Linked DNA regions of Rhinolophus ferrumequinum. The protein of the gene in region 1 purifies or fractionates together with the protein of each later gene. This does not show direct contact. Links are inferred from orthologs where the notes say so. Each region holds a gene or a part of one and is shown on either strand. Other genes may lie near its edges.

Evidence for each region.
Region 2: the proteins of TMEM43 (region 1) and ENDOD1 purify together in Homo sapiens (affinity purification with mass spectrometry; 3 studies listed by BioGRID and IntAct, with this or other methods). This does not show direct contact. The link is inferred for Rhinolophus ferrumequinum from reciprocal best matches to the Homo sapiens genes TMEM43 and ENDOD1.

The regions. Positions count from the first base shown.
Region 1 is NC_046300.1:40,404,386-40,411,827, forward strand, and holds the start of TMEM43 (transmembrane protein 43), read left to right. Parts: upstream 1-4,437; 5' UTR 4,438-4,592; coding exon 4,593-4,604; intron 4,605-7,442. Other genes in the region: CHCHD4 (mitochondrial intermembrane space import and assembly protein 40), read right to left, coding at 4,040-4,061. UniProt on the Homo sapiens protein: May have an important role in maintaining nuclear envelope structure by organizing protein complexes at the inner nuclear membrane. Required for retaining emerin at the inner nuclear membrane.
Region 2 is NC_046294.1:65,825,321-65,832,213, forward strand, and holds the start of ENDOD1 (endonuclease domain-containing 1 protein), read left to right. Parts: upstream 1-3,876; 5' UTR 3,877-4,402; coding exon 4,403-4,702; intron 4,703-6,893. UniProt on the Homo sapiens protein: May act as a DNase and a RNase. Plays a role in the modulation of innate immune signaling through the cGAS-STING pathway by interacting with RNF26.

The DNA of each region.
Region 1 (7,442 bases):
ATCAGGCACCTTCTTAGGGTGTCAGAAACCAGTTTCTTCACCAGCTCAGCCTACCTATCATGGTCAACAAAGAAAATGAAATGAGTTTCTTTTCTCACCTGTATCCCGCTCAAAAGACAGTCATTTTTTAAATGACATCAAATGACAAGGATAAAATGGCCAGGAAAACAGACAATCAGAGGCTAGAGATGTGAAACCCGTTTTAGAAGTGGCAATGCTGACAGAAGAGTGCTCTGACGTAAGAATGGAGAACGCTGAGGCCAATGTGCGCAAGCACGGGAAGTCAAATAGAAGAAAATTAATCCCCAGCCCAGGATTGGGAATCCAAGGCCCAGGGGTGACTCTGAAAGCAAGACTTCAGAGCGGGGCAGAGCACAGAAGGAATGACTGAGTAGCTGGATACCACGACACCCCCAATTCTGTAGTTTTACTTTCTGTATAGCCATCTTTGACCCTGGTCTTTTTCTCACACCTCCACCATCAAATTTGGTTGGCTCTAGCTTCTAACACATCTAGAAAGATCTGCATCCCTCACCTTCATGACTCCATCTTCCACCACTCGCTCCCTCCATTCCAGCATCTCCTTTCCTTTACTTGAACAGGCTGAGCACACACCTACCTCTGGGCCTTGGCATAGGCTGTCCTCTCCTCCGGGAGCTCTCTCCCTCAGGTACCTTCATAGCCACCCTCTCCCTGACTTCATACGACCTACTTAGATGCCACCTTCCTTGACCACTCCGCATCTCCCTTTGCTTTATATTTCTCCAAAGCATTTCCTCACCTAACATATTATATATTTGTTTACCCCCATCTCCCCCACTGAAATGTCAGCTCCTTAGGGACAAGGGTTTGTCTTTCACTGCAATATCCCCAGAGCCCAGAACAGTCCACACAGCATAGTGGGTAACCAACACTTGTTGAAAAACTGAACTCTGCATTAGGAAATGACACAGAGGGCGGGAAGACAGAATGGTTACCACCATTGAGTAGGTTAGAGAACACCCTTAGATGGGTGGTCTCATCTTCTCCTGAAAGGGGAACACGAACACGCATGGGATCATTACACGCAGGAGTGCCCATCTCTTCCACCATGCCATGAGGGCAGAAAGTGTCACCTGTGTTCAGTTATACGCCCAGCGGATGGCACATCATAGGTGCTCAGTAAATGTTTGTTAGCTGAACAGGCGAGGGCAAGCTCAGTCAGAAAAGGAGGAACCTAAAGTGAGGAACAGTGGGGTGCCGACAGTAAAAGGGTGGGGAGCCCAAAGCCAGGGACCAAGCCTGAGTCCATGCTGTGGAATGCCTTGAATGAAAGAAAGCTAAGGCCTTTAAAGTGAAGGTTGGGTGGTGGGTGGACCCCTGAAGTAAATTTGCACAGGCAAGTGATACACTCAGAACAGAGGGCAGGCATGTGTATAAGTTTACTCAATAAAGATCTGGGTGCCCACTTGTACACCAGCCCATGTGCTAGATGCTGGGTATATGGCACATCTAGTGCTCTTAGCTTCGTGGGAGAAGACAGTCAGGAAATAAGATGACAAAAATAAATAAGGTAATTTCAGAAAATTTAGTATGTAGGGGCCGGTCCGGTGGCTCAGGCGGTTAGAGCTCCGTGCTCCTAACTCCGAAGGCTGCCGGTTTGATTCCCACATGGGCCAGTGGGCTCTCAGCCACAAGGTTGCCAGTTCAATTCCTGGAGTCCTGCAAGGGATAGTGGGCAGCGCCCCCTGCAACTAAGATTGAACACGGCTCCTTGAGCTGAGCTGCCGCTGAGCTCCCAGATGGCTCACTTGGTTGGAGCACGTCCTCTCAACCACAAGGTTGCCAGTTCAACTCCCACAAGGGACGGTGGGCAGCGCCCCCTGCAACTAGAAAATGGCAACTGGACCTGGAGCTGAGCTGCGCCCGACACAACTAAGACTGAAAGGACAACTTGAAGCTGAACGGCACCCTCCACAACTATGATTGAAAGGACAACAACTTGACTTGGAAAAAAGGCCTGGAGGTGAACACTGTTCCCCAATAAAGTCCTGTTCCCCTTCCCCAATAAAAAAAAAAAGAATTAGTGTGTGAAAGACAGAGGGTCAGGGAAGACCTCTCATAGGTGACATCTGAGCTGAATCCTAAAGGATGAGTAGCCAGCTATGGCAAGAGCTGAAGGCTGCTGCTGACAAAGGGAACAGCCAAAAGGCCAATGTGGCTGAGCAATGACAGAGATCAGAGATCAGGCTGGAGCTAGATCAGGCAGGACTGGATCATATAAGCCCTTATACAGCAAGGAGTTGGGGGTCATTTTCCTAAGTCCCAAGAGAAGCATAAAAAATTGGTGGACAGAAAAATAAAAAGTTGGGGATTTAGGGGACTGTAATATGGATAAGATAAAACCTAGTGAAGGCCTGAGTGCTTTCAATTCTTATCCCTAAACTAAGAAAAAGATCTTTGACCCAGGAAAAGATAAGCCATGCTTTGGTAGACGATGGAACCTGCCTCTCCTTCCCAGAGAACCTGTGACTCCTAGAAATTCTCGAGGGCAAGGAGGGTTCTTATTTATCTGCGCAGCCTCATTATACCAAAACGGCTCAAAATTACTTCCTACACGATGAAGAAAATTAGAGACTCAGAGAAAGAAAATTAAAAACACACCTATTTTTCTAATAAAGTGGTGAGGGCAGAGAACTTTTGTTCATGGCACAATTAAAAACAAATAGAAATAATACTCTCATTAGCAATATCAGTGAGTATTACAGCTTTATAACCCAGGAAAGGAGGAGGAATTCTAAAAGCCAGGTGGGGTGGGGAAAAAGGCTTAGCATTTTACACAGAGATGTTTCCCTAACTTGATGTATGATCTTGGGTAGATCATCTTCTCTGGGTTTCAGATTCCCTGAATTAAACTGAGGGCGATGGACTGACTATTCACCAAAGAATTTCTGGGTGAGTTCCAACTCTCTCTGTAGCTTCTCAGGTGTCCACCATCCCCATCACCTGACACAGAGAAGGTTCTTCATGAATACCTGCTGAATGAATGAAGAGAAAAAAAACTTTTTTCTTTTTTTTTAAGGAGGGCGCAGCTCACAGTGGCCCATGCACAGATCCAACCGGCAACCTGGGTGTTATTAGCACCAGGCTCTAACTGAGCTAACCCGCAACCCGCAAGGCCAACTTCTTTTAACTTCTCATTTTACAAGATTGGAAACTGAGGCCTGAAGGGGTTAGGTAGAGGCTCAGGGACAAATGTCGAGCCAGTAAGTGGGCCTGGAGAATTCTGAACTGAGTCCAACTTTTTTGGGGGTGCGGGTGGGGGATGGGGTGTCTTTCCAGCAGAGGGCTTCCAGAAATCCACTAGGCACCAGATTGGACAGTGCAGTTCTGGAATCTGACTGCGAGGGCTCAAACCCCAGCTCCTACTTCCCCACCGCGTGGCTTTAGCCAAGTCACTTGTGTCTTACCAGAGCCTGATTTATAAAGGTCACTGCGAGATCAATGAGAGAAGTCATATAAAAAGCTCCTTGAAGAGTGCCTGATATGCAGTTGGGGCTCACTAAATATTCCTGTTGTTGGTACTTCTACCACTCTAGCACAACACCTAACCCGAGTGGTTACTTTTCAAAACAGTTAAAAGGCGCGTGCAAGTGGAAACACGTGGTATGTGTTTAAGAGCGATAGTAATAATTAATGACAATAATTTCCCAGTTGAGAGCCAGATGAAACGTGCTTAGCACTCCCTTTACCAGCTCGGGTCTAAATGATGAAATCTCCCACGAGCTTGGTTGGTCCCTATGAGGTCCGGGTTCGAGTCTCACCGTGACCTTGGCACAGCCTCATTCCTCCCAGTGTCAGTTTTCTCACCTGCAGAACCGGGGTGGCAACCTCACCGCCCAGCCCGCTCCAAATTTCCCGAGAGTACCCGGGACCACCTCAGGTTGCCCATGCCGGCAGTGAGGTCGCGGGGCGCCGAGGCCTGCGGGGGTAGTAGAGACCGCGCGTGTCCCCTGCAGGCCCTCGTAGGCCGGTCTCCAAGGCAGCTCACCCTCCTTACCTTCCTGCCGGCAGTAGGCCATGGCTGCAGCCCAACGTCTGACTCTGCACAGTAGCGGCGGCGGAGGCCGCTACACGCCGTGACCTCTCCTCAGGTAGGGCGGGAAGCTCTGAGGCCCGTGCGGACCCGCCCCCTCCAGGCCTGCCCGCCGCGCGCCTGCCTCCGTGCCTTTCCAGCCCCAGCCCGATCCTCTCAGCCGGGAACTACATTTCCCAGCAGGCTGCGCGCTGCCCGGCTACTCTCCAGGCAGTAGGAACTACACTTCCCAGAAAGCTTGCAGTGCGCAGGCGCATCAATGACAAGCAATGCATTTTGCAACTTTGTGAAGAAAGGACCTGACCCCGGACTACAGTTTCCAGAAGACCTTGAGGCGCGCATGAGCAGAAAAGCCGGGGACCACGGGGCGGTAACATCGTAGCGCGTCCTCTCTGGTTCTGGGCTTCACGCTGGTTTTCTCAGCTCTTGGGCAGACGACAGACCTCTGGACTCCGCACTCTGTAAAGCCCTTTCCTAGCTGAATAGAACGAGACAGGGCGGCGAGCCGGGTCCCACCATGGCCGCGAATGTAAGTGTCTGCTGATCCGCCGGGCCACACCCAAACTTCCCCTTGTCCCGGGGCCTTCTCTTCCAAGGGGCCGCCTAGGTCCATTTTGCTTGTCTGCCTCTTGTCCGTGCAGCCGACTCCCTATCTTCCTCTGCATGCAGTGTCTATGCCTAACGGCAGCTAGTCCGTCTGTTCATTTCTCTTAGCCTGTCCCGACTCCTTCTGTCCGTGTCCTTTGGTCCACCTCATCCTGGGGTCGCGCGTTTGCGGGGAGGGAGACTCAGGAGGGGTTGCGGGCATTGCGATCTACTTGTGCGCGGCGCCTCCCTGCAGCCCGTCCTTTCGTTCCCAGTTCCCTCCTGGGCTCTTGGAGTTCTCAAATTTGCAGATTTAGAGAGCTGGACGAAACTTCAGAGAGGAGTGTCGTCCTCAGCAAGGGTGGGGAAGCCGATGCGCCCAGGTGGAGCTGTCCAGCAACGGACAGACAGGGCTGTCCCGGCGGGCGTTTAGCTCCCCGTCCTAGCTGGTATGCGAACCGAGGCTATGATGCTGCGAAGGGGCACAGGCTTGGTTGGGAGCGGAGGAGTTAGAATGGCTGTGAGAGGGAGCATGGCCCTATTGCTGGGCTCTCCTCCTTCTAGCGCGGATTTAGTTAGAGAGGTCCCGACTGAAGGTGGTTCCTTTCAAAAGGCCGCTGGCCGCTTCGTCCTGCAGCCAACCTTTCTCAGGAACCTTTCTATTTAAGCCCAACATTCATTCAACAAAACGAGCAGCACATCCCACCAGAGTTCTGGGTGTGAGAAAAACTGTGACTCACCACTCCCCTCCTCTGTGAAAGTGCTGCTGGAGCCAGCTCGGGAGCCCTGCCAGCCCCAGACACTCCCTCCCTCCCTCCTGCTTTGGTGGAGTGTCCTACCCACTCTCTCCTAGCCTGGTACACCCTCTCTCCAGGCACCTTCTCTGCCCCCAAGGGTCTTCTCTGCCCGCCGCACCCTCTGAGAGACAAGGTTTGTGTCACTACAGCCCTAGTGTATACTCTGCTCCACGTTAGACTTGTCGTGGAGGCCTTGACGTCTTGAATGCTGTACCTAGAAGCCTCACACCCTGAGACCCAGGATCTGCCAGGGGAGAGGGCAATCAGGAGATTGGCTTGTCCCCAGAGGTGGCCTCCTGTCTGCCCCCACACCACCACATAGGGAATTTCCCCAGCAGAGTAAGGCACTTGCCCAGCTTTCACAGCCAGCTTGGCCGGTTACATCCTGGGAAGCTGCTGAAATCGGCAGCCTTTGGAGTCAGGCAGACCTGGGGGCAAATCCAGTTTCATCCTCTCTATAGTTGTGTGGCCATACTGGGAAGGTTAAGGGAAATTGTGCTTTGCACAGTGCCTGGTGCATAGTAGGTAGTTAATACATGAAAATGCCTCTTCACAGTCTAACACGATGGTCCTGGTGGGCAGAGACCATCTTGGGTATGTTGAAACCTGACCTTTGCCGAGGAATATCAATGAGTTTGGATATCCTCCGCGGCCAAGTCTTTGTTGATTCATCTAGTAGCCTGATGTGTGTTTATGGGAGCTGCCAGGCCAGTGAGGAAGATGGTGGGGTGGAGCAGGGAGGTGACAGAATTCTTCATCAATGTAACAACTGTCCTGTGACAGATACTACTTACTGTCTCCATTTTATGTGAGTAAACAAGATCAGAGAGGTAGAGCAACTTACACAGCAAGTCATTTTCAGGCCTATACATCGACCTCTGTTCCCACCCCTCATTGCTTCTGAGCCCAAAGTGCTGGGACTGGGGGCGGAGGTCGGTATGTGTCACTGAGGATACATTTAGGTATTCAGCACACATCAAGGAGCCAATACCAAGATTGGGAGCTCAAAGATGGCCTTGAAGAGAAGGAAGAAAGGCTCAAGAGGGTGCCCCTCAGGCTAGAGGAGGTACAAGGGTGAGTAGTGAGGAATGGGCAGAGGAAATCTCCATCATCCTGTTTATAGGGAAGTTGGTTGAGAATGTGGGCTGATGTGTCCTGTCACTACGCACTTTACTCCTCCCCTCGTTTGGGCCTTTCTGCCTTCTCTTCAAAGCCATCTTCGAGCCCGTTGTCTTGACGTTGGTTCCTAGATAGATGCTGAGGGGAGGCCCAGAAGGAAGCCATGCCTTCCAGCCCCCAAGTTTGGGGCTGCACTGGTAACAGCAGGACTGGCTCCGTTTCCTGTCACTGTCTGCAGTTGGCTCCCAATATTCTGCTCTTGTTATATCCCAAGAAGTGAAGAATGCCGGGCCGGGCGGAGCAGAGTGTTAGGAGAGTGGCCTCCTGTCTGGCCTGATGACTTAACTGCTGAGCCTCGGTTTTCTCATCTGTGAAATGGGGTAGTGATAGCGCCGATGACCGGCCTGTGATAGACTGGTGTGTTTGCCATTGTCATCATTATGATGGCTGATGGTCACCTACCTGCCTACAGTGAATTGCTCCACTGATGTTTCCAAATGGCGTGGAAAGTCAAGACCATTTCTGAATGTAATGTACATCTGGTCCTTGGCAGGCCTGGGCTGGTGGCATTTGGGGACAGTCAGAGAACATGGCATCAGCCTTGTTCCAATGGAGACTGACTTGAATCTCTCCTCTGACCCTCACTCCACCCCCTGTGACAGGATGGGACCTGGCTCACCCTGAGTGCTCATCTGACCCCCAGCCTTGGTACCAGCCTTGGTGTCAGTTACAGAGAAAGCTGATAACCTTTCCACCAGCTAGCACCTGTGCTCTAGGCACTGGACCATCCAATAATTAGGCCCTTTCGTTCTCACTACAACTCTATGTATTAGATTGTTATCCCCGTTAGATTATTATCCCCGTTT
Region 2 (6,893 bases), on another chromosome or scaffold:
GGTGAGCTGATACTTGGTCAAAGCCGATGGACCCAGGAGGGTCTTTTGGTTTCAGGAGGGTTGTGCTGTAAAGGTTCTGTACCCTGAAGATGCTGCCTTGATTTAGAATTGAATTGCCAAGTTGAACCTTGCAGCTAACCTATCTATAAACTACATTTCATCTTTCTGAAAATAAAACCAAAGCCCTAAAATACCTGTGTTGTAATTTCCAGATTTTTGTAATTGTGGGTTATCAGTTTTTTTCCTAAATGAAAGTCTGGCCACCTACCTAAAGAGGAACTCTATGGAAGAAACGAACGAATTTACTGAGTTTTGCAATAGGTTAGGTACTTCATATTGGTTATTTAATTATTTAATTTAATTCTCATGTCAACAATATGAGGTAGGTATTACTGCCTTTTTGCAGATGAGAGATTTAAGGTTCAGAAAGCTCATGTAACTTGTAAGTGGCAGAGCTCAAATTTAAACCAAAGTCTCTTGATGCCCAAACCTATGCTTTTTCCATTTATCTGCACTTTTGGAGCTTTTTTACAATTCGCATAAGCTGTTACATGCAGACTAAGACAGACACACATAGGTAGAGATAGGACTGAATATTTTCCTTAATTATTTTTTAGTGACAAACAGTAATTGTTTTAAACTCATAAGTAATATTAATGGAATAGATACTTGGACAGATGGATTTCTGAAATAAATGTTTAAAGTTCTGTGTTTAAAATACAGATGACCTGGTACCTTAGACAGGGAGTTCCAGGACAGCTGAGACCATATTTTATTCACTCTGTGTCCCCAGCAATTAGCACTGAGCCTGGCCCACAAGGGGAAGGGGGGCACTCAGTGTTTGTTGAATGAATAACTAAGTTTCTCTTCTATGCACATCAGTATTTGGAAGAAAGAGATCATCTACTTAATTTAAACAGACTTCCTTCACCCACTGAGCGGACTGTTGTCTTCAGTAATATTGCCGTAGACTGAAGGTTTTGTGTCCCCTCAAAGTTCAGACATTGGAACTTATTGCATGATTGTGTTCAGAAGTAGGGCCTTTGGAAAGTAATTAGGTTGGAGAGTGGAGTCCTCACGAAAGTGATTAGTGCTCTTATAAAAGAGACCCCAGAGAGCTCACTTGCCCCTTCTATGTGGGGATACCTGTCTATGAACCAGGAAGTGAGCTCTCACCAGACACTGATTCTACTGGCGCTTTGATCTTGGACTTCCCAGCCTCCAGAACTGTGCAAAATAAATGTTTGTTGTTTATAAGCAACCCAGTCTATGACATTTTGTTTTAGCCTGAAAGGACTACGACAAATATTAAATAATATTAATACAGGTTAGGCAAGAGAGCCAAGCCAAGCAATTTATCCATATCTGAGAATGTAGATTTTGGTCATCTTGCTTCATCAGAAACTTCATTTCGTATTTGTAGCATAAGGTAGAATGACTTAGTGATCTATGAATAACTAGTGAAAATGAAATCCTCCTGAGATTTTTCTAAAATTTATACTTACTAAATCTACAGTGGTTTCCAAACTGCAACTGACTTTAATATTATTTGTTTTAAAAAAGTACTTTGGTTTTCTCTCTTCCAAGATAGTTTCTCTATATAAAATTTTAAATATATAAAAATAGAATAAAATAATTTTACTTATCCTATCATACAAAGACAATTATTGAACTCTCTCAGTCTCCTATTATCCTTTGCATATGTTCACACAGTGTGATCATATGATGGATGACATTTTTTATTCTACTTTCCTAATTTTTCTATTAGAATTATGTTAATAGCACTTTAACAAAAAGTTTCCTTTTTTTCCTGGAAAGTTTTTTTTGTTGTTGTTTTGTTTTTTTACTTTCTTAATACAAAGGCAATATGTATTCTAGATAAATAAAAATATACAGATCAAAAACATAAATATTACTTAAAATGGAGAAACTTAAAAATGGGGAAGTTTAAAACAGAATGTTGTACATTCTCACATTGACAGCTGAATACAATTTTAAAGGGAACATGTAATCAGCAAGAAACAAAAAGCCAGGGAAGTTCGTTTATTCCCTTTTCTAAATATACAATATTCACTCATGTCTGCATGTCTGTTATCTGAATAAACTCTTTTTGGGGCGCAGAAATTGAGCTAAATTAAGGTTGGTGGGAAGAGGCTTGAGAGTCTCTTTAATTTCAGAGACATTAAAATGTGAAAAAAATGCATATCTTAGAATCAATGAAACATGGTATATGAATACATTTAAAACTTAAAACAACACTAGGAGGTAGGTTCATTATCCTCATTTTATAGATGAGAGAATTGAGGCATAAAGAGACTCAATAATTTGCCCAAGATCACACGGCCATTAAAAGGAGACAGCATTACTGTCTCCCAGACAATCTGACTCCAGAGTTCATTCTCATAATCACTACACTCTTCTCCCTATAGATATGGAAAGCCAAAAAAAAGTTTCAGAAAAATTATTTTAAAAACTTTTATTTATGAATTTATTTTTTATTGAGGTATATCAAAAAATTGTTTCAAATATTTCTCTGCATGAAGAATTCAAAGCTATTCCAGGCCGAAGTAATTCTCTAACATCTGGACAAATACCCAAAAGACAGTTGAACACTCCAGAAGTGCCCATTAGTTGGACCAGGTGTCTTTTTTAGTGCAGTCTAATGGGGAGAGAGTGTGTATGTACACACAGGTGCACTTCTTCCAGGGGCATTGAAGTTGTCTAATATTACTTTTAGACATCATCCAAAGTGTAGCTTTGCTAGAAAGAAGACAGCTCTGCCCACAATTTTAGTTGAGCATGACTCAGCCTTCTGTTGGCCTGGGTGTCAACAACCCTTTTGACTCAGAGGCCTTCTGCCTCTCACTAGAGGATTTGAAGCAGGCATGCTTTCTTAGATTTAGTCACTATTAGGAAAATAAATCAGGAGTACTCAGCCTCCTCACCTCTCCTAGTAATCCAAAGGGGGTTAATTTACTTATTATTTGTCAAGTTCATACGCGTGCTAGACAATCTACAGATAGGAGAGCCAAAGAAGTAGCTTCAGGCACCTAGAAATTATTATTCTAGTTTATGAGCCACTATTGCAATGTACGTTATCATTAAGTGTGATTTTCTATTATACCATTCCCATTGTCTTTCCAGATTAGCTTCTCCCCAGATTAGCATAGGTGACCCTTTTCTGCCCTCATCACACACTTCCTTCACACTGTATTGTAGTTGCTTGTCCATCTGTCTTTCCTACCAACTTCAAGTTCTGTGGTACAATGGTCTATGTCAGTCTTGCACTGGAATGAAGCTGGAGACAGCATGAAGTCAATGTTAAACAACTCATTGGCTGCGTGAAAGTTCCCAGCATTGCCCTTACTTGGTCGAAGGCAGAGCAGCTCGCCCTGTTAATGTCGTCCTTTAGGTCTCAGCTCAGGCACCACTTCTTCAAGCAAACCCCAGACCATACCTGAATCGCTGTAGCGGTCTGGTTCTCATAGATCCATGTTCAGTGTTTAATCATTCCTTTACTAGAATGCTTCTTTGACTAATGACAAGCTTTCTCACTAGACTGTCGTCTTCATGACCACAGGGACTCTGACCTTATTTACCACTGAACCCTGCCACCTGACCCAGGCTGGCACGTAGGCGCTCAGTGGGATGAATGAAGCAATGAATCAATGAATCTATTAACCAATGATGCTGGCTGGTCTTCTTGTTTTCTTGGTATGGATTTTGTTTCTAAGCTTTGCCCCAAGTGAACCACAAGGGCCATTATATCTATCTAGGTTAAGAATTTCCTATAACAGGATTTCTTAACTTGGGTCTCCGGGCTTCTGATCTGCCATAAGGCATCAAAATTGTGTGCCTGTGAAAGCGGTTGAGCATTTCGTTGGGAGGGGAGACTAATTTTCATTGGATTTCAGAGGAGGTCTCTGCCCAGCCACTAAGAAGAACCACAGTTCCGTGAGCATCTCACACCGCCCCTTTGCATTCCCGAGGGTCCCTGGGGCACGCAGCCCAAGGGACCGTCCCTTCCCAGTCCTTCGGATAAGGCTGACTCCGCTCAAATTTTCCACTCTTCGGAGCGCGCGTTCCTGCGGACTGCGGAGACGAGGCAGTGCAGTGGCAGGTGCCCTGCGTCTCCAGGCCGGCCTACAGCCCGGGGGACGTTGCCAGCATCCTCCGGCCCCGGCACTGGGCCTCTGCAGCCATCTTCAGGGAGGGAGGGTGCGCAGGAGGCGCGGCTCGGGGACGTGGACCCGCCCCTGCCGCCGGGGCCGCCCAGCTTGGCCCAGCTCAGCAGCGCCGCGCCGGGGTTCCGACTTCCCCTCCCAGCCGCGCCGCGGCCTCGAGCTCCCCTCCCGGCCCGCAGAGCCCGCGCTGTGGCCGCCCCGCGCTCGCAGAGGCCGCCATGGGCCCCGCGCGCTGGCTCGCGCTGGGCAGCATCCTCGCCCTGGGCGCGCTGCTGGAAGGCCGGCTGGTGGGCCAGGAGGACGCCGGCTTTGGAGAATGTGACCAGTTCTTCTATGCCCAGACCCCTCCTGCGGGGCTGGCGGCCGAGGGACACGTGAAGATCTGTCAGCGCTCCGAGGGCACTGAGCGCTTCGCCACTTTGTACAGCACCCGGGACCACATCCCCGTGTACTCGGCGTTCCGCGCCCCGCGCCTGGCGCCCGGCGGCGCTGAAGAGCGCTGGCTGGTGGAGCCGCAGGTAAGCAAGGTGGTCCCCCAGCCCGACAGCGGGGCTGGCCTCCAAGGGCGCTTTGCTGCCACCGCTAGGGGTAGGGCGGGAAAAGGGAGCCCCCACGCCCTCAGCGGCAGAGTCAGGAAACGCGGGTTTCGGATCCACCCCACTGCGCCCCCGGAGTTACAGCGTACCTCGCCCGCCCCTGTCAACGCCACCGCTGGAGCTCAGCGATCTGTGAGCTTTCACTTAAACCGCACGGACGGAGGTCTCCAGTGGGCGGTTCCCAGTGGGAGGTGGTTCTCCCTACATTTCTGTGTAGACATCTGCAGTGTCTCATTCATTTCCTGGATAGCGAGGATGGTGCGACCGAGACCCAGGAGACCATTCATCTCAGCAGGAAGCCTAAGCTGGGAGCTTAAAGGCCTTGGAGCAGGCCATTGCCACAATTTGGGGGCAATGGGAAGGTGCGTGGCATTTTCATGCCCATTTTGCAAAAGGGTAGATCAAGACCTGGGGTGGTGAAAAGACTTGCAGAAGACCACCCAGCTGGTAAGAGAGGATAGGTCTTTTGGCTAGAAGTTCACTGCCCTTTATATTAGGGGAAAGCTTCCATTTTGCAGAGGCCGCGTACAGCTCAAAATCCTTCCTATCTGTGCACGACATCAAGTAAATTCGGTCTGAAGTGTGTTGAGTTAGGACAATAAAGGTATAGATGTTTAGAAAGGCAATGGGATAATTATAAATGATAGGGAAACACTGACTACTTACAATTAATGGGGAGGACAAACCAGTTTTTCCTGGCTATATTATCAGACTACTTGTAAATCATGTCACCTCTCAGGGTGTACTGTCCTGTCTGGTAAGGGTGACCAAACACTTAGGCCCCCAGATGCCCTGCTGACCCTGACTTAACACATCTTGCCCCACCTCTGCTCAGCCAGCCTCCTCTCTAGAGCATCCAGCCAGCCTCCCCTCTGGCCATTTCTTGCCCTCACCGGCCTCCCACCTGCCTCTGCACCTGCCACAGCTTGCCAAGGCCACCCTAGCTGGGGGAGGAGCTGACCCACTCAGCCAGCTATTCCTGATGGCCACAGCTGCCCGGAACCACATGGGTGAACAGGAGACCCACTTTCGGGTGCTTCATTCAGAACCCTGGGCTGTAATCTCTGTGATCTCATTCAGATATTTCTAGCTCTGAGAGCTTGACTGGATCTCATGCAATCTGCACCTTAGTCTCCTTACCTTCTCTGCATCCATTCCACGCCCCCTCGCCTGCTGATGTCAGGACCTATGAGATCAGGCATCTGAAAAAACCCTTTGTAAATTGTGCACCCTTAAGACATATATTAATCAAAAACTAGTTTGCCCCCCACTGCACCCCTTGGAGCTCTCTTCTTCTTCCCCAGCTCGTTATGCATTGTGATTGTGGGCCTGTGGAATAAAACAGATGATCTGGTCTTTCTCCTTGAAGATCCCATGGATGCCTTGGGGAGGAAAATCATACCCTATTTTCCCGAAAATAAGACCTAACCGGACAATCAGCTCTACTGTGTCTTTTGGAGCAAAAATTAACATAAGACCTGGTATTATATATTACGTTATGTTATATTTATTATATTATATAAGACCCGGTCTTAGAGTATAGTAAAATAAAACCGGGTCTTATATTAATTTTTGCTCCAAAAGACGCATTAGAGCTGATTGTCCGGCTAGGTCTTATTTTGGGGAAACAAGTGAGGAAGACACGGGAATGCATGCGAAACAAATTTCAGTTAAATTCAGAACACATTTAGTAATCACCTGCTGTGTGCCAGGCACTTAGAGTACCAGGAGAACAGAGTGTAGCTCTTGAACTTCAAAGGCTTCCTGGTCTGTAGATGAAGCATGCTGGGTGGAGAGGTGGTGCTTAGAGACATGCTGTGTGTGTTCAAGTCTTAGTTCCTCCACTGACTAGCTGTAAACCTGGAGATAATAACAGGGTAGATGGGTAGATTAAATGAGTTATTACATAGAAGGTTCTCTGAGAGGTGCCTGGCACCTAAGTACTAGCTGTTATGGTGACACGAGCAAAAGCCCATAATTTACTAAAGGTAAACAAAGTCCTACTGAATGTAACCTGTCTTGGAGCTGATAGGGGAAAGCCTCAGGGTCAGGATGACATTTGAGCTGTGCCTGGAAGGATGAGGGGAGTTCAGAAGGGACACGAGGAGGAGGA